Linked DNA regions of Arabidopsis thaliana. The protein of the gene in region 3 interacts with the protein of the main gene of each other region in a pairwise test. Each region holds a gene or a part of one and is shown on either strand. Other genes may lie near its edges. The genes, in order: DWF1, AT4G18230 and AT1G57540.

What was found.
Region 1: the proteins of AT1G57540 (region 3) and DWF1 interact in a protein complementation assay, tested with the Arabidopsis thaliana proteins (one large-scale study listed by BioGRID).
Region 2: the proteins of AT1G57540 (region 3) and AT4G18230 interact in a protein complementation assay, tested with the Arabidopsis thaliana proteins (one large-scale study listed by BioGRID).

The regions. Positions count from the first base shown.
Region 1 is NC_003074.8:6,878,358-6,885,365, forward strand, and holds DWF1 (cell elongation protein / DWARF1 / DIMINUTO (DIM)), read right to left. Parts: upstream 3,959-7,008; 5' UTR 3,855-3,958; exon of another isoform or gene 3,272-3,854; 5' UTR 3,260-3,271; coding exon 2,018-3,259; intron 1,922-2,017; coding exon 1,478-1,921; 3' UTR 1,167-1,477; downstream 1-1,166. Other genes in the region: AT3G19810 (BTB/POZ domain protein, putative (DUF177)), read right to left, coding at 1-455. UniProt on the Arabidopsis thaliana protein: Plays a critical role in the general process of plant cell elongation. Involved in the synthesis of campesterol, an early precursor of brassinolide.
Region 2 is NC_003075.7:10,078,450-10,084,836, forward strand, and holds AT4G18230 (UDP-N-acetylglucosamine transferase subunit ALG14-like protein), read right to left. Parts: upstream 3,609-6,387; 5' UTR 3,441-3,608; exon of another isoform or gene 3,283-3,440; 5' UTR 3,262-3,282; coding exon 3,081-3,261; intron 2,987-3,080; coding exon 2,847-2,986; intron 2,729-2,846; coding exon 2,585-2,728; intron 2,486-2,584; coding exon 2,426-2,485; coding exon of another isoform or gene 2,309-2,425; exon of another isoform or gene 2,249-2,308; coding exon 2,072-2,248; 3' UTR 1,661-2,071; downstream 1-1,660. Other genes in the region: AT4G18220 (Drug/metabolite transporter superfamily protein), read left to right, coding at 319-349, 519-1,660; SS4 (starch synthase 4), read left to right, coding at 3,772-3,926, 4,310-4,664, 4,759-4,840, 4,927-5,950, 6,045-6,096, 6,221-6,343.
Region 3 is NC_003070.9:21,308,130-21,313,735, forward strand, and holds AT1G57540 (40S ribosomal protein), read right to left. Parts: upstream 3,393-5,606; 5' UTR 3,284-3,392; exon of another isoform or gene 3,093-3,283; 5' UTR 3,087-3,092; coding exon 2,939-3,086; intron 2,513-2,938; coding exon 2,349-2,512; 3' UTR 1,766-2,348; downstream 1-1,765. Other genes in the region: AT1G57550 (Low temperature and salt responsive protein family), read right to left, coding at 4,412-4,495, 4,606-4,680.

The DNA.
Region 1 (7,008 bases), on a different chromosome or scaffold from region 3:
TCTGGATAATCCTTGACATCTTTTGTCACTCTAAGTCCCATTGCAGAAGCTCTCTTCTTCGAGACATCTGTTGACAACCTTCCCAACCCAAGCCTCTCTAAGGTAGTGCAATATTCAACATGTGTAACTGAAGCATTTCTCCTATACATAACCGAACCTTCCCAAGGTGACCCAGTATCCTCAATTTCCTCCTGATCTTCCCAATCCATATCTATTGTGCTGGTCTCTGTAAAAGACTCCTGACTAACTAATATCCGACTCTTTGCTAGCCTAGGAAGCTTGATCGGTTCAGTGAACAAGTAACTGATATGCTTCCTAATACCGGTGGTAAAATTAGGATAGCCAGCGGGAGAAGATAAACTTAAGGTACATGTTTCGAGTTTCAGAAAACTTGGACGCGACTGTTTAGTCTGTGGCAAGGGAGCTACACAAGATAAAGAGCAAACCAGAGACATTTTCGTAGCAAAGGTGACAACAAGAGGCAATTTATCAAGCGTTTATCAAACAATCATGCTAAAATATGGTATAAAATCCAGCCAAATCCCAATAGGATTGGGTTTATCCAGCTTGAAACAGAGCACCTGCAAGAAACATTTGCTGATATAGTGTCAACAATAGAGAAAAGACAGAAAATCTTGAGAAGGGAAATAATAATCTTCAATTGTTTTTGAAAAGAATGAATTGGGTATCGAGACTTCACAGTTACATTCCAGTCAGAGCTAATGTAACTAAAGGAATTTGAGCTAGGAATTTGGTCGAACACCTTCTATGCACCATTTTATGTAGATAAAGGACAGACCTTTCCACTTCCAATTAACAGAGCCGCAAACATCATGACGGAGACGAAATCGAAAAACAAGCAAGTAACTTCGAATACAAAAGATACAACAAGAATTAATAAATCGAAATTACTTACCACTAACAAGTGCTTCAACAACGCTTTAGACGATCGACTCTGTAAAACTTCTTTCAGAAACAGAGCTCTTCTTACTCGGAAATGGCTGCTTGGGTTTATCCTAAAAAGTCTCACCCGGTCAACTTCGGTTCAAATACCGGTATTTCCAGGTTTATATCAAACCTAACCGCACCCCAATAAAACTAACAAAGTCGGGTTTTAGTGTTTTAGATTCACGTCGTGAATGATCTAAAGCCTAGTTGGTGGTGGTATAAAGAGAGAAGTTGAAATGATCTCTCAAATTGGTAGATCAATTAATTCATTACAGCAACATGCTTACATTGTGACAGTCAAGCAACACGATAAAACCGGAAACCTTCAATTTCATAGGCAAATCCAAAAGTTTTAAACTCTAAAATCCACTCAAACCAGAATGAGTCAAACAACAACAAGAAGCAAACAACAACAACAAGAGTCTTCAAGACACTAAAACTGAAATTAGGAAACAACAACATAACAGACACTACTAGGAATAACAATAATCATCCCGAGCCATTACATCAAACCAAGGCTTATTATTACTTAATCTGCCTCGGCATAAGCAGTTTCGAGATGAGCTTGTTCGGCTTCTCTAACTTCTTTCTCAGTCTTCCTTCCTTTCTTGGACTTGTAGTAAACACTCATGAACGTTCCAATAGCTCTATACTTCTTGCGGCACTCCTCATACAATTCACCATTAAACATTCTCCAGAAGCTCTTCTCGTCGAGCTCAGACACCGCGTACTGAGGCTGGAATCCATGGTTCTCTATCAGCCATTTCTCCATCCTACGCACTGCTTCTGATCCATCAAACTCTTCACCTCTTAGGACACAGCCAGGTGCGTAGTAGACTCCAACATCAGTGTACATCTGTGCATCTTCTGTGTCTCCTTGTCTGTTTTCGTACTCGAAGCCTGGCTCTGGGTAGATTTGGCCTTTGATTGGCTGCTTGAAGAGTTTGTGTGGGCAAAGCCAAATTGGATACACCTGAAAGAGAACAAACAATTCATGATTTTGTTAATAACATCAAAAGAAACTTTAACTAGAAGATGATCAATCATGAAACCGAGCTTTTAGTTTTACCTCCATTTCGCGGTGGACCCATTCGAGTGCATCGCCAACCTTGTAAAGAGGAACAAGCATATCCTGAATAACATGCATATCATGGTAATAGTTCCTGATAGCTTCACCTTGAGTGGCCTTAAGAAGAGAGACCTTTGGAGGCATCAACCAACCTAAGAGGTACCTAAACCAGAACTGATCACCAAATGGAAGAATAAGCTTCCCTTCCCAGTACAAGCACCTTGTGTGCCTGTGGTAGTATTCACGAGTTGGGATGTACTCAACAAACTGTCCCTTTTTCAGGGCGGTCTGCGCGTGCTGGTAGAACCACGGCTTGAACCACCATCCCACATTGTTGATTTTGTTCCCTTTCTTCTTTGCCTCTTCTTTAGATGCATATGTTCCAACCATCATCACTCCTTCCGTTGGATTGTAAACCATGCCTTCGACGAAATCCGGGATTTTCGACTTGTCACCGTCTTTGGGAGCAAAAGAATCAATGTAACCTTGAGCTAAGGCTTGAAGATCACCCTTGACTGGTATGTAAGTGAGTCTCATGTACTCCTTGACTTTAATAAGCCTGATCTCAGCAGCTACAAGGAGTCCAAGAGTTCCTTGCGACCACGGGATTGCGTAGTAAAGATCAGAATACTCATTATCCCTTGTGGCGCGGACAAGCTCTCCACCCGCAAGAACAATCTCGTAAGCCTCAACGGTATCAGCAAACAAACCGTAGATGTGAGAGCTTCCTTCAATACCATATCCATTGATAAGTCCACCAACGGTAAGGTCATCAAGCTCAGCAACAACAGCGAGAGACAGGTTCATTGGGACGGTAGCACGGGAAATCTGTCCCATGTTAACAAGAGGCTCCACTCTAGCAGTCATCTTCTCCTTGTTGATCTCAAGGATGTTACGGAACTCCCCCAAGTCAACCTCGAAATGCCGGGCTCTCTTGTAGTCAACGTTCCTCATTCCAACAGCGATCCAGGGCTTACGAGCAGTGCAGACAAGCCCGTCCTTGGAAGCATCCCTACCCTTAAGCCTTTTGATGACTTTCTTGACATTCTCGTCGTGTTCCTTCTGACGTTTCTCAAAGGACTTGGACTCTGACCACATGTCCCCGAGGTAGATGAGGAAGTAGAATGTGGCTGAGAATGGAAGGACGATGAAGATGACAATGATCCATCTGAACTTGACAAAGTAATCAACCCAAGTCTTCTTCCTCTTGGGCCTCACAAGCGGTGTCTGAAGATCCGACATTTCCTCTCCTCACTGCATCAAACCAAAAAGAAAATCAAATCAACCAGAGTTTCAAAATCCATCACTGTAAAAGTCAACAAGGCCTAAGAAGTGAGCATAAATCTACCAGAATGTCAAAAATACTAAAGATTAGTTTCTTGAATCCAAAAAGAGTATAATAAGCACACATAAACACATACGTATACACACATGTGTATCAGTGTATGTGTATGAAATAAATCTGTAAGAAGAAGATAGTGTGGAGTCCATGGAAACAGAGAGCTAGTGAACAGAGAGACAAAAAGACATGAAGTTATGTTCTGAAAGAACAAGAACACAGAAAATGGTTATAATCTTTAGATCTACACATCTAGTATTCCTACAAAGCCATCAAAGTCTGTTTTCTACCACCAAAATAAATAAATAAAAGTTGGTGAGCAAAGTTTGAAACTTTGTTTGAAATTCTCCAAGACTGAGATGATTAAAATTAAAAAACCCACATAGTTCACTAGTGCGTGCTATGAAACAACTATGAACCAAGTACTGAGAGATCTAACGACAGGAAATGATAAGTCAGCGACTGAGACAGAGAGAGAAAGAGAGGTAGAGAGAGTACCTGAAGAATCCAAAGGAGAGAGAGAGTGAGAGGATGAGATGTGAAAGTGTCCCCAAGAGTGTGAGAGCATTTGTCTTTATAATAAAACGTGATTCAAGCCAGCCTGCTTCACTTGCATTTTTCGCTCAAAACAAGGTATTTTTTATTTCCCATTTTTTTATATAATTTTAAAATAAAAAAGGTAATAATAACGCAAAAATATAGAAATTAAGAAATATATAATGTATATTTTTCATGGGTTTGTATAAGTGGTTTTTCATATTTCTAAGTTTCTTTGTTGTTATCGCAATTAAAAATTCGATGTTAGTTGTAATGTTGATAAATCACATGTGTTATATTTATGAGCAATTTTTTAGTTTATAATTCTGATGTAAGAAAATAAAAATAAATTGTTTTTACTTATATCAGTATTTAATATATTTTTACCAACTCTTTTAACATTTAGAAATTATATGTAAATCGAACCTAGAGCTTAATTAGACATATCTTCCAAAATATAATTTCTTACTTAGCAGTTAGCATATAAAAGGAATATGAGGACAAATTCTTTGTAGGGATATTTTTTCTGAAAAGAGTTTACTGCTATAAATAGGTAAAAGCAAATAAATAAAAAAAGGCAACAAATCTTAGCAGTTTAAATTTCTTTTAAATAGAAAAATATATCTTTCTTTTGGTATGTAAATCACAATAAATTACAGGAAGACATGTGCCCAATGAAGGAAATGTAATTGTCCAATTCGTTTTTTTTTTAAATGCATTTTATGGGTTGATTGTATTGATTTTTGTTTTCTAAATGCTTTTAGCGAAACAGTCCTCCTACATGTTTGTTGATGTACCTAAAGCACATTCCATCCTCGTGAGGTTACTAAGCCGACGATCTTATATATTGTTTATTGGCAAAAAGTTCATTACAACTTTTCTTATCATAATAGTTATTACAACAATCTTTAACATTTAGTTTTGATATGTTATGATTGAAGCAAAAAAAGCACTGCCTAAAATATCTTGAAAACATTATACATTATGAATGCTAATGAGAGTTCCTTATATCTTTCTCTCAACTCTTAAGGGATCTTCAAATGAGTGTTTTTTTTAAGCCAAAACAATTGTGAATTAGTCATTCACTTTCATCTTATTCAGATTACAATGTAGTATTTTAGAAACTAATGTGTAGTAAAAAATTTTATATAAAATGCCTCTTATTTATATAAAAAAAAAAACTACGGCTGTGATGAGAAATGTTTTCCCAAATCCCAATAGCCATGCTTTTCATCAAAATTCATATATGAAATCATTTGTATCATTATCAGTGCCTACATAATACAGTAATAAACACACAAACTATCACGTTATTTGGTGAAAAAGGCTCTCAATATATAATTCTGTTACTGTAACCAATTATTTGATTTCCACCTAAGTATTTTAATAGTTGATTTAGAAAAGCAAATAAAATCATGATTTATTTAGAAAAATGGTTACACTTTAAAGTAATGAAGTGCTCAAAAAGTTTTTTTTGTCGCCAAAAAGTAATTATTTATTTATTTGACATAGAAAGAAAAAAAAAATTACAGGGATGATGGCCTGTCTGAGAAAATATCCAGCTCTTGCAAAATCTCTCATAAAATATATTTACTCTTTAAAATATGCCAACTAATTTCTTACTCACATTTACAGCTACAAATCATTTTTTTGTAGTATGGAAAAATAAATGTCTATTTGGCGAATCACACCTTTTGACATTGACAGTTTGACGTCAGTGAAAATTTGGTTGACGCTTGACAAAGTTTTAAACCGTTACAAGGTCGTGTAATCACACCAATGTTTACATTACAAGAAACACCAATTTGTTTATATATATATCCAAATACAAAGACATTACTCTTTGGTCCAACGCCAAATAAACCCATGCGTCATTTCTGCATCAACAAAAACCGTCTTTGTCCATTCCATTAGTACCTAAAAAAGTGTGAAGAAGCCAGAGACAACAACCCACATAAATTATGATTTGTTAAGATTGAAGCGTATTATGACTAAACACTTCTCTTGAAGTAAAAAAATTAAAAAAAAAAAAAAAGGTGAAAGAAAAAGACAAAAGAGAACGGAGAAACCGAAGAGAGGAGAGTTGAAGATAACAAATCTATAAACGAGGACTGTCCTACTCCCCACATGTGCCTGACGTGATCTCAACTCCTTCACGTGATTTCTCTTCCTCATTTTTTGTAATTTTATTACTAATTCTCCATTTTTTCTCACTTCTTATTAATCCCTTTTTATTATTCAAATTTTTGTTTTCTGCCACTTCCATTTTATTACTATTCTTGCTAAAAGAGAATGGAAAACAAAATCACTTTGTTTAATGCACCCACGATCCAGTTTTTATTTTAAATTGTTGTGCCTTCTGTTTGATTGCATGTACTTAACTTCTTATAATAAGTGTAGATCTACTCTTAACGTGCAATTAACTAATAGTCTAATACATCGGGGACACGTTCAATTGTTGGTAGCATTCTTGTTTAGCATTATATATAATCCATGATTTTAGCAATACCAATCAATCATTCCAAAGACAGATCGTTTCGTTTTCAGTGGCTTTTCATTAGACGATACATTGTTACCCTACTCAAAAACTTAACTCAAATGGGTTACTTCAACAATCAATATTGAAAAGAAATCACTTCTCAACAATAGATTAAGAAAACGACCAGAAAGGAGACTTTCTTGCGCCTTTGTCTTGGTTCCCTGAAATTAACCATAGTTCAGTCTTAGTAACATCGAACAAAATTGCTAAACTGATCCTAATGGGGAAAACGATGCATGCATACAAAACTGTTACACAATACTGTAAATTGCTAAACGCATACACCAAAAAAGAAGCAATCATAGCCTATAAACAGCGTTCTTTGCCTTCGTTACAGGTTGTGAAACACTATTTCTAACCAAATATTGCAATGAATTTTCAAGCAAAATATTGTGAGTTAGATAGGCGATGGGCTAATAAGTAGGAGTTGATTGGGAAGAAACGATATTAGATATTTGAGAGTTATGAAGAGTTTAACCTCTCCCTAACATGATCTAGCAAGACAAAGTTTAATAGCCAGGAAACCAGCAAAACATTGCAAAAAACAGAAAGAAGATGAATGTACCTTGTTTAGGC
Region 2 (6,387 bases), on a different chromosome or scaffold from region 3:
ATCATTTCCTTCTTGATTTGACTCGACTCATCTCTAGATCAACAATAGTGACAAAAGAAATTAAATTCACAGCAAGAGAAGATATACAGTTGGCATTTACTGAATGTGGGGACAAGTACAATCAAAACATAGACGATGACCGATTCCTAATCTCTAAATATATAGCTACAGCGTGTCTCACCCATATCACAGAAGCAATCACTTGGTAGCACTAGTAACCAAGCAATTTGATAATAAGATACCTAATACTTAGAATCTATTCAGAACATTGTTAGTACCTCCTTGTCCATCTCGAAGGAGGGGGATTCCACATCTACTATGAAGGGGGATCAAGAAGTACAAGTCATTGGTGAGTAAGCATAAACCAGTTCCTCGAGAACCTACTGGTCTTTTATCTTCAAATAAAAGACGAAAAATATGGTTATGGTATCTTATTATTCAATATATCAATATTTTTCATGTGTGACAACAAATAAGTCATAATCTAATTTCTTGCGTTATTTTCCATCACTCACCAGTTCAGCAGGGAAAAGAACCAATTCCAACAGATCAAGACGAAAGAAGTTCGGTCAGTGGCAGCCAAACAAAACTATCTCACTCTAATACATACAAACGGTGGCTCCGGGTTGCTATCTATACATTCTTTGTCATTTCAGGCCAATCAGTTGCTACAATTCTGGGCAGACTATACTATGAAAATGGAGGAAACAGCAAATGGCTAGCAACGGTAGTTCAGCTTGTAGGCTTTCCTATTCTACTTCCATATCATCTCTTGTCAGTCAAAACACATACAACAACTCAGAGAGATGGCAAATTAACCTCACTTAGGAACCGTGCATTAGTTTACATAGTGCTTGGACTTCTTGTAGGAGCAGCTTGCTACCTATATTCCATTGGACTGCTTTACCTACCTGTTTCTACCCTTTCCCTGATCTGTGCATCACAGTTAGCCTTCACCGCTTTCTTCTCTTATTTACTCAACTCACAAAAACTTACTCCTATCATTTTGAATTCTCTTTTCCTCCTCACTATATCTTCCACCCTCCTTGCATTTAATAACGAGGAATCAGATTCCAAAAAAGTTACAAAAGGAGAGTATGTCAAAGGTTTCGTATGCACCGTTGGTGCATCTGCTGGGTTTGGTCTACTCTTATCCCTACAACAGCTAGCCTTTCGTAAAGTTTTAAAGAAGCAAACTTTCTCAGAAGTTATAAATATGATAATCTACATGAGTCTAGTGGCCAGTTGTGTTAGCGTGGTGGGGCTTTTTGCTAGTAGCGAGTGGAAAACTTTGAGCAGTGAAATGGAAAACTACAAACTTGGGAAGGTATCCTATGTCATGAACCTAGTGTGGACAGCTGTTACCTGGCAGGTATTCTCCATCGGTTGCACAGGACTGATCTTCGAGCTTTCCTCCCTATTCTCAAATGCAATAAGCGCTTTGGGACTCCCCGTGGTTCCTATCCTGGCTGTCATCATTTTCCATGACAAAATGAACGGCTTAAAGGTGATTTCTATGATTCTAGCTATTTGGGGTTTCGTATCCTATGTCTACCAACAATATCTTGATGAAACAAACTTGAAGAAAAGTAATGAAATACCAACAACAGAATCCCCTGACCGACCAGAAGCAGAAGGGTCAAGTGAGCAATCAAAATAAGCTGTTACTTCAAAGATTGTGGCACACACAGTTTACAGACTAAAGCGAGCTGATCAAGTAAACTTACTTTTCTTTATTGGTATGAAGGCAGCCTACAATGAAAAATAAACATAATAGATTTGTGATGCGACTCAAGTGAAGTCACAGCCTGAAAATGTGTGCATCATTGTAACATGAAGTATATTTTATTTAAATATATGTTGTGCACGATTCTGGTTTAGTTTGGAATAAGATGACCAAAATCACATTATAAGCTCACTGAAATAGCATTAAGTCATTAACAAAGTCAAAACAGCTGATTACAAAAATTCATTGTTTAAAACTCAATCCTGCATATAAAGAGAAGGTGTACACTATGTAGCTTTCTAAGTTTTTGTAATATATCTAGGTGTAAGTAGAGTTCCAATCAGCTTACATCAGGCACCCAACATAGTGAGCCCGAGGATACTTCTTATGCAGTTGTGGCCATTGAACAAAGAATTGATCAGCTATTCTCAACTTGTAAAGCAACAATCCACTTAATGAGAGCTTTTTCACTCTTGCTACACTCTCAACATAAAAGATTGATGACCATCTAATTCCCAGCACCTGTAACCCAAGATGAAACAAGCACTTATGGGAATTCTAGATGTAATGGAGAAACCATGACTAAGAATAAACAAAACACATCCTCTGTTTTTGGTCACAAGTCCATTCAAGGTCATCCAAAATGTAGAGGAAAGAACTGCAAAGAATCTTGATAAAATATTTCCGAAGTGTGTATACCTTGAATAAAAAGGCGATCACACACAGAGGAATACAGGTCCCAGGACCATTGCAAAGAATCTGAAAAACTTCAACCAAATCTAATCAATAACCTGATTCAAATGGTTTAATAAAGAACCCTTGAAGAAAGTCTAAAAAGCATTCAGATAAAAATCATACCACTTGTGGTCTGATCCGGATCATTAGCCACAGAGCGTGAAGAATAGCAACAATGGTAGTCCAAACAGAAGTCACATAAGACTGACCAACTTCACGACTCCGGTAAATTTGCATGAACTGTGATGATGCTTCCTTAACAGCAGGCTATGCCACAGTCATACCAAGCAAAAAACACACAAGAAATAAGTAATAAGCAATAGCAAAATTCAAAGAGGAGGGACAAAACTCAAACGAAATTGAATTTAAGGATTTTTAACTAAACCTTCTCAGCTAGAGAATCTTCAAAACTACGAGCTTTCTGGAGACTCATGTTATCTGTAGCAGCAGCAATGTAAAACCTTGGTGTAAATCTATCCTTCCGCAAAACAGAGAGGAGACTCAACATCTCTGCTGTGTGTCCCCCTGGTGATTAACAAAAACCCCACAATAACATATCATAATATGCAGCACATTACTTAGATCCAATTGAAGAAGACACTGCATTAACTCTTCTTACCAGAACCAAGAACAATAAGAGTAGTAAAAGACTGTGAAGCTCCTTTTGGAAGTGGTTTGCCACATCGGTATATAACATACAGTACACGAACCATTAGAAGAACGATCGCCAAAATAATCAATAAACCAATGCTGAATTTTGAGGCCATCCTTGAGTAAACACAGTTGCAACCTTCCTCCATGATCGTACTTCCTTTTGAGATCTAAAACGTCAAAATCCAAGCGTAATGGAGAAACAACTCAAAATCAGATCACAAACAAAACGAATCGTCAAAATCGAGCTCGAAATTAGACAAAAAAACGAAATTGAAGATTCAACACGGCGATTATAAGGTGGGAAGAAACAAAATAAAAAACTCACCGGCGACGGAGAATCCCGGCGGTGACGGGAACGTAAAGGATTAGAGAATTGAATTTTATTGGTTACGGTGTGTCTTCTTTTTACCACCGTTCGATTTGGATATTGCTTAGAATACACGTGGCGTAACCACGTGACTTTTATCTTTGGGTGGACCTGCAAACATGTAATTCCTTCCCAATTTTTTATTTTAAAATCTTAAAAAGATACTAAGAACTGATGAAGAAGATATTGTACACCAGTCGGTACTTAGAAAAAAAAAAATGAGATTTTTTCACAAAACCTCCATTGAAGCAACTTTTGTAGCTTTCTTCGTTTAGGTATCTAATTAAACATGACGACGAAGCTATCGAGCTTCTGTTTCTTAACCCATGGATTAGCAGGAATCTCCTGCGAGAGAGAACATGGAAGTTCTCGTCGATTTTTCTATCTCCCTTCTCGTCGATTAGTTTCTACTTCGTGTAAGATGCGACAACAACGTGGTTTCGAGTGAGTTTTTTTTTTTTGTCGATTTCTGTGTTGGGGTTTGAGAATTTATGTACCAATTCGATTGATTTATGTAACTTGGCATTTTTGAATTTTGCATTATAAAGTTTTGTTTTTCTCAGCTTTAGAGTTATGGTGAATGCTCATAGATGTGAACGTGTTTATAATTATCTTGATTTAGATTCATTTGTATGAGTTTGGAGAGGACTATGAGAATTAAAACTCTGATTTTACTTAGTGATGAGATCAAAATGTTGCATTTGATTTTTGATATGAATCCAATTTTTGTTAAAGCTAGCCTCTTTGTAGCTTAAGTTCCTTTCATTTCCCATTTGATTTGCATTACACCAAGTCAAAAAAAATCTGATATCTTGACTAATTTGCAGCTCTAGTAAAAGACAAGAGGTCAAGAAAGGCTCCCCTAAACCGATCCTATCTATAAATTCAGGTCTTCAGAGCAACAATGATGAGGAATCTGATCTGGAGAATGGTTCTGCGGACAGTGTCCCGAGTCTTAAGTCAGATGCTGAAAAGGGTAGTAGTATTCATGGCAGCATAGATATGAATCATGCTGATGAGAATCTTGAAAAGAAAGATGATATACAAACAACTGAAGTTACTCGGCGCAAGAGTAAAACTGCAAAGAAGAAAGGGGAGAGTATTCATGCTACGATTGATATTGGACATGATGATGGGAAGAATTTAGATAATATTACTGTGCCTGAGGTTGCAAAAGCTTTGGTATGGATTTCTTTTTAGTGTTAATGGTATATCGTAACTCTCTTCTTCTGAAAAAGGCCTTCTTTTGATCACTTATTGTAAATCATTTTTTCAGTCCCTTAACAAAAGTGAAGGCGAGCAGATTTCAGATGGACAGTTTGGGGAACTAATGACAATGATAAGAAGTGCAGAAAAAAGTAGAAATTTTCTTATCTGTATTAGTTATGTTTGTTTCCTGATCTTGTGAAAGCCTTTGTTAATTCCTGATGTCTTATTGTGTCAGATATTCTTCGGCTTGATGAAGCACGGGCCACTGCTCTTGACGACCTTAACAAGATTCTTAGTGATAAGGAAGCGTTGCAGGGAGAAATCAATGTCTTGGAAATGAAATTGTCTGAGACTGATGAAAGGATTAAAACTGCTGCTCAAGAGAAAGCACATGTAGAGCTTCTGGAAGAACAGTTAGAGAAGCTTCGTCATGAAATGATCTCCCCTATAGAAAGTGATGGTTATGTTCTAGCTCTTAGCAAAGAGCTTGAAACATTGAAGCTGGAGAATCTATCTTTGAGAAACGATATAGAAATGCTTAAGTCAGAACTTGACAGTGTTAAAGATACCGGTGAACGTGTGGTTGTGTTGGAAAAGGAGTGCTCCGGTTTGGAATCTTCTGTAAAGGATTTGGAATCTAAGTTATCGGTTTCTCAGGAAGATGTCTCGCAGCTTTCTACTCTTAAAATCGAATGCACTGATCTATGGGCGAAGGTAGAGACTCTACAGCTGTTGTTAGATAGAGCTACCAAACAAGCAGAGCAAGCAGTTATAGTGTTACAACAGAACCAAGATCTAAGAAATAAGGTCGACAAAATTGAGGAATCACTTAAAGAAGCCAACGTTTATAAAGAATCTTCAGAGAAAATTCAACAGTACAATGAGCTAATGCAACATAAGGTGACATTACTTGAGGAGCGGCTCGAAAAGTCTGATGCAGAGATATTCTCATATGTTCAGTTATATCAAGAATCGATAAAAGAATTCCAGGAAACACTTGAAAGTTTGAAGGAAGAAAGCAAGAAAAAATCAAGAGATGAACCGGTTGATGATATGCCTTGGGATTATTGGAGTCGGTTACTTTTAACTGTTGATGGATGGCTGCTTGAAAAGAAAATAGCAAGCAACGATGCTGACTTACTGAGAGACATGGTATGGAAGAAAGATCGAAGAATTCATGATACCTATATTGACGTCAAAGATAAGAATGAACGTGATGCCATCTCTGCATTTCTCAAGCTTGTCTCATCTCCAACAAGGTTATCATCGTCTATTGGAAATGCTTTTTTTTTTTTCAGTTTTTAAAGCTTTTGAAAAAAGTAACCTATTTTCTTCATCTTGTGTTGATTCTAGTTCAGGATTGTATGTCGTTCACATTGCAGCTGAGATGGCACCTGTAGCTAAGGTGTGTTCAGCTAAACCCTCAAAAATATCTCTTGCTTACATGTTAGATTTTCCGAAATAGAAGCATTGCATGGTAAATTTTCAACTTTATCCCCATTCCAAATTTCCTTCTGTAATTTCTGTAGGTGGGAGGTTTGGGAGATGTTGTGGCAGGTCTTGGTAAGGCATTGCAAAGAAAAGGTCATCTGGTGGAGATTATTCTTCCCAAATATGACTGTATGCAGTATGATCGCGTGCGTGACTTAAGGGTAATATTGTTGTCCAATATGATGAAAACAAAATTATAAGCGGA
Region 3 (5,606 bases):
TGTATTATCAGAAATGAGTGGGAAATCTCGAAGTAATTTTCACTGTATTTTAAACCGTTTAAGGGTAAACCCTCATTTTCGTATATTTACGAGCTTTAGGCAAGATATTAAGTGTTTTTCTAATATAATGTTTTTATAAATTCAAACTTTGTTTACAAATTTGTAATAGAGACTCACTATGAGTATGCTAACTTAATACAAATCATTGTGTTGATAGAATATTTAGATCAGTACACATGCATGAAATAGAATACAATCCGACCTTAGCTCAGTTGGTAGAGCGGAGGACTGTAGTAGACGCAGATTATCCTTAGGTCACTGGTTCGAATCCGGTAGGTCGGAATTTGCTCCCACACGAGATCTTTTTATTTTTCTTTCGTTGTGACATTAAGGTTTTTAAATTTTATAATAAACGGTTATATGGTGGTCGACAATTAAACATACCGAAAAGTTTTGCTCGAATTCTTAAACGATCCGTATGTTTAGCTTTTTTCAATATTGATACGATGAAAAATGATTTAAAAGTGACTAAAAACTATGAGTTTTCTAATTTTCTTTGGTCAAACAAACATTTAGTTTTAGAGTTTTAAAAAGAACAAAAAATGTATGCATAATTATATTCAAATGCTTGTGGGTTGTGCCTATAAGTTGTCAACGTTCATACAAGGGTGGTGAAATACCTTTTCCCACTTTGTTGCACGAAAAGTTTTGCTCGAAGTTGTAGATGTTCCGTAATTTTAGCTTTTTCAATATTGATGCGATAAGAAAATATTTGAAATTACTTAAAACAATGAGTTTTCTAATTTTCTTTGATCAACCCAACCTATAGTTATTGAGTTTTGCAATGAAAAAAGAATGTGTATGAATAATTCTATTCAATAGCTTGTGGGTTGTGCCTATAAGTTGTCAATGTTCATTCAAGTGTAGTGAAATACCCTTTCCCACTTTGTTGCACGATTTTCATGGCTTTAATTTTCCAAGAATATTAACAATCATCGACCATTTGGGAGGTGATTGACGCCTTAAACGTGGTGTTATCAACTGGTAGGCCTTGGGCACCGGAGGATATTTAAACCGTTCGAGTTGTAGCCATCACTTTCGAATATCTACCAGATTTTTCCAAGAAGCATGTTTGCATATATTGTTGATATGCATTCTAATTTCTAACTTTGTTTACAATTTCTTAAAGAGGAATCACTCTGTATATTCTAAAGTACTGCAAAATCATTGTGTTCATATATTGTTATAATTTTACACATGTATCAAATGCAATAGTACAGTTCGACCTTCGCTCAGTTGGTAGACAGGAGGTTGTTTCTTTGCGCCAAGAACTGTGCAAAAACCACATGTGGATGGATCTTTTGGTTTTGTAGTCTGCCTAGTCAATGGTTCAAACATCATAAGGTGTCAAGTATAGTGAAAGTAACCTCTGACATTTCCACTCATTCCCTATAACAAACTTGGCATGTAACGTAACTTAACCTTTTACCAAAAAAAAAAAACTTGACATGTATGCATTTCTCTTATTGAGTTCTCTTTTGATAACGATTTTGTTGTAATACTCTTGTCAAAGAACACTGAAAATGGAATGAAACAAGCTTTAGAAAATAAGATCTGACCCTACCGGATTCAAACTATTGACCTAAGGATGTTCTGCTTCAACTATTGTTTTCATTCGAAATGCAAAGAAACAACCTCCGTTCCAAAAAGCTAGATCTTTGGCCTCCATAGCTTGCAGAATTCACTTGATTAAGTTATGTTCTCCATGACATTATAATACCACAGGCTTATATGCTGTGTCTATATGACAATATCACTGAAATCCTAGCTCTTTACTCACATTCAAAACACATTGATGTCGATTATAATTAATTAATTAATTATGCTCGAGAAATGGTAGCATTAGGTTTGTTGGTGATCAAACATATTCCTACACATATTTAACTAGCAGGCATCTCCATGAAGTCACAACCTCGGTGTGGATATTCCACCTATGACTAGTTTGAGGGGATAGTGAGACCCAACCCTCCAAATAAATCCAAAGGTCTTCCCTTCGACAGCAAAAGCTTTAGAAAGCTAAACACTCTCCCAAAAGAGTGTGACCAATGGCCAATTACACTACACTCATAATCAAACACACACGAAAATGAGAGAGGAGCATAGGATGATACTCTTAACTCTATCAACCTAAAGGCTATATGAAAAAATACACCATAATTTCTAAAGGAAACAAAAAGTGACAGAATTTGGTAGTATTATAAATAGTTACCTAAATTCATGTACTGCAAGAAAATGTACAGAAGATGAGGTCCATACACATCATAGGTAAAGCCAGATTATGATGGGGTTTAAGGGAGTGAAGCTTGAGGGGTTTTGATGTTATCATATGCAGCAATGTTTTGTGGTTCACATTCAGGGCTGAAGAGACGGACAAGCATTGCAGTTGATGTGCTTACGGACAAAGCACCACACCCAGCCCACCGCAGACTCCTTGGCACTGTGATCCTTGGACCTACACATTTCCCAAAGAAAACATTTGCTTTTATAACCGTTCTATCTTAGAATTGACTCAACTATTCTATTCTACGTTCCTTTTACTCTTAAAACCACATAAACAACAAACCAACCCCAAGAATCATTTTTCATGACAATAGGAATCAAAGAACAAGTGTATTGCTTCCCAAAACGTGTAAAGATCCAATCTTTCACCACATCAAACTATTCAATCAAAGCTCCTTTTGGATTCATTTTTCTCATAAGAAACGGATACTACAGAACAGAAAACAGAATGGTAATACGCATTGGTATGTTTTCATAAGGCTACAAGAAATCTTTCTAACAATCAATTATGCAGAGCACTGGATTCAATAGCTATATGGAGAACAACCTTTTGATGGAAACGCAAATCACTGATTAGAAAGGAGAGAACTTTGTTTACCATAGTGAAGTCTGCAAAGAACCCAGAAACCAAGAGCTCCACCAACAGTGAAAATGGCAGCTGTTTGTTTCATCAGTCTTGAACATGGCTTAGCATCTGATCTCATCAGATCTCCTTCTGACCATCCTAACTTCTGCCTTAACGCCATTTCTCTCTGTAATAACAACACCAAATTAATTTAAGTATAAGAGAAACGAAACTATTCGGTTTTGTGATTAAGATATTCACTGAGGCATTTCATCGAGCAGTATAAGGGCAACTTCAAAAACGAGCAACAGATATAATAACTCTATATGGGTTAAGATCTAAGCAGTAAAAAAGAGAGCAGAATTGGTACATAAATACCAGAAGCAAAAGCAATCTCTGTCGTTACCGGTGATGCGTAGTTTCTTTGGCTGTGTCGCCGTCGAGCTTGTCGGAAGAAGACGGAGAAGAGAATCAGATCCACGTGTCTAATTAGCTGATATTTGGAAGCCCAATAAGTGTTAACTATCTTAATGGGCCGGACACAATAATCGTCGGATCCAAGTGATACACGTGGCTCGGAAAAACAATTTGTTTTTTCAAGGAGTTGGTTTCTGTCTTTCTGAATTAATTAAAAGGTTTTTTTTTCGTTAATTAGTACGAACTAATTAAAAGTTAGTGTAAAGTAGATTCGAGGTTTCACCGAGGTACACTTAGAGAGTTAGAGGGGATTGCAAAAAACCTTAATTGACAGCATTAACAATGGATTAATAGACGCATCTATTATCGGAATTTACACCGATATCTTGGATATTTAAGGTTAGAAAATAATATTTTTCTCATTCGAATCGTTGTTGTAACCAAGTAGCTCATAATTTTTTTCATTATGGGAGAGCATTGACTATACCAATTGATCCTCTTTGGTAAGATGGGACGATTTCAATAGATTTTGTTTACATTTTTTGCTTACCACTTTGAGGTAAAGAATTTGTATATGCAGGGATTATTGGGAACGTCTTCATGGGAGCCTATACCACACGGTATTCGATTCAAGCAATCTTCAAATCGGAATTGCAGAAGCTATATAAAATTATAAATGTATGTACACAGGTTTATATTTATCGTTATACGCATAAGTAAACTGTGTGTATCGATGACTCCATGTAATATCTCTATCAGAACTTTATAGTTCCTAATGGTACTAATAATTTGATCACTCTTTAGATGTAGTATTACTACAATTCAAAATTTATATCACGCATATAATAATATCATCAATCTTCCAAATCTGTTTATGATCCGTAAAATGTATCCATAACCTCTGCAAACTAGAACAACAGCAATTTGGAAACTGCTGGAATTTACATACATCTAACATAGCAAAAAGTTTGCTAGATTACAAAACTGATTCCTTAAATACAACATAAAAAATCTAAAAAAGCAAACATTGTTGGAAAAAGAAAAAGTTATAAAATAAAAAAAGGATCCAGTGTTTTTGATTGGTTATTCCTACTTGGTGAGAACGTAGATGGCATATATCAGTCCGGGGATAAAAGCGAATAACGTTAGAAGCAAACAGACCCAAAACTCCAACTGCAAACACATATACAAAGAAACAAAAAAACAAGAGATTTGATCTTACTTTGACCATTAATGTCAAATGTGTCATATATTTTTATGATTTATGAATGAAAAAAATTTACCCCAAGGCCATATCTGAGGAACACACCAACAGGAGGTATGAAGATTGCACAAAGAACCTCAAGGAAGCTACCCATTTTTTTCTTCTGTAATTTTATGTTTTTTTTATATGTTTTTTTATGTTTTTTTTTGTTTTTCTGTTTCTTAGTTTTGAACTTTGTTTTATTTCTTCTTACGTGTTCATTTCCATTTATGAACTTTGTAAAAGAACAAGAAAATAGAATTAGTGGTTACGTTAAATAAGGGAAGAAACTGAGTTTGATTGTGTAACGTCCTCTGCTTGTTCCTAAAATGAAGGAGCTCCACTTCAACACAAACAACACAACCCTTTGCGTTTTGACGCAACCTTCCGTTGTTCATCGGTTGGAAACAAAAAAATGGGATGAACACAAATAAGAAGTCGAATAACTTAAAAATAAAATGTTTTGTTTTTGGGCAAAGAAATTAAAATGTTACAATCATAATGTCTGTTACAAAAATAAAATTAAATTTCATGGATTACAAATATATATAGGCCATTAGTTTGTATTAGTATCATCTTATGTAGATAAAATGTTTGCTTTTAACTCAAGTGTAAACATAATTTTTAGTGATTTTTATCAAGTTTTTTTTCTTTTACTCAAGTTTTTTTTCCAAACATGTAAATATTCAATTATGTAAGTTTTAATCTACTTAACTTATCTATATTTGTTAGTTTAGCTTAGAACAAGTAAATCTAACTTGCTATCACTTATCGACTCCACATATTTAGTCGGGTGTAATAACTTAGAGACCCATTAGTCAAAACTAATTTAAAAATGAAATTTCGTAAACTCGGTTCTTTCATATTAGATAATCTATTAAGATATATTTTTTTAATTTAATTACGTGGTTGACAAAAATGGATAATAAAAAAAAAAGTTTAACCAAAACTAATTATCAAAGATTAATATAATTGTCACAAAACATCAAATAAAATAAATTTTGCATAGGTAGTTGAAAGAAATTAAATCTCATCTATAAA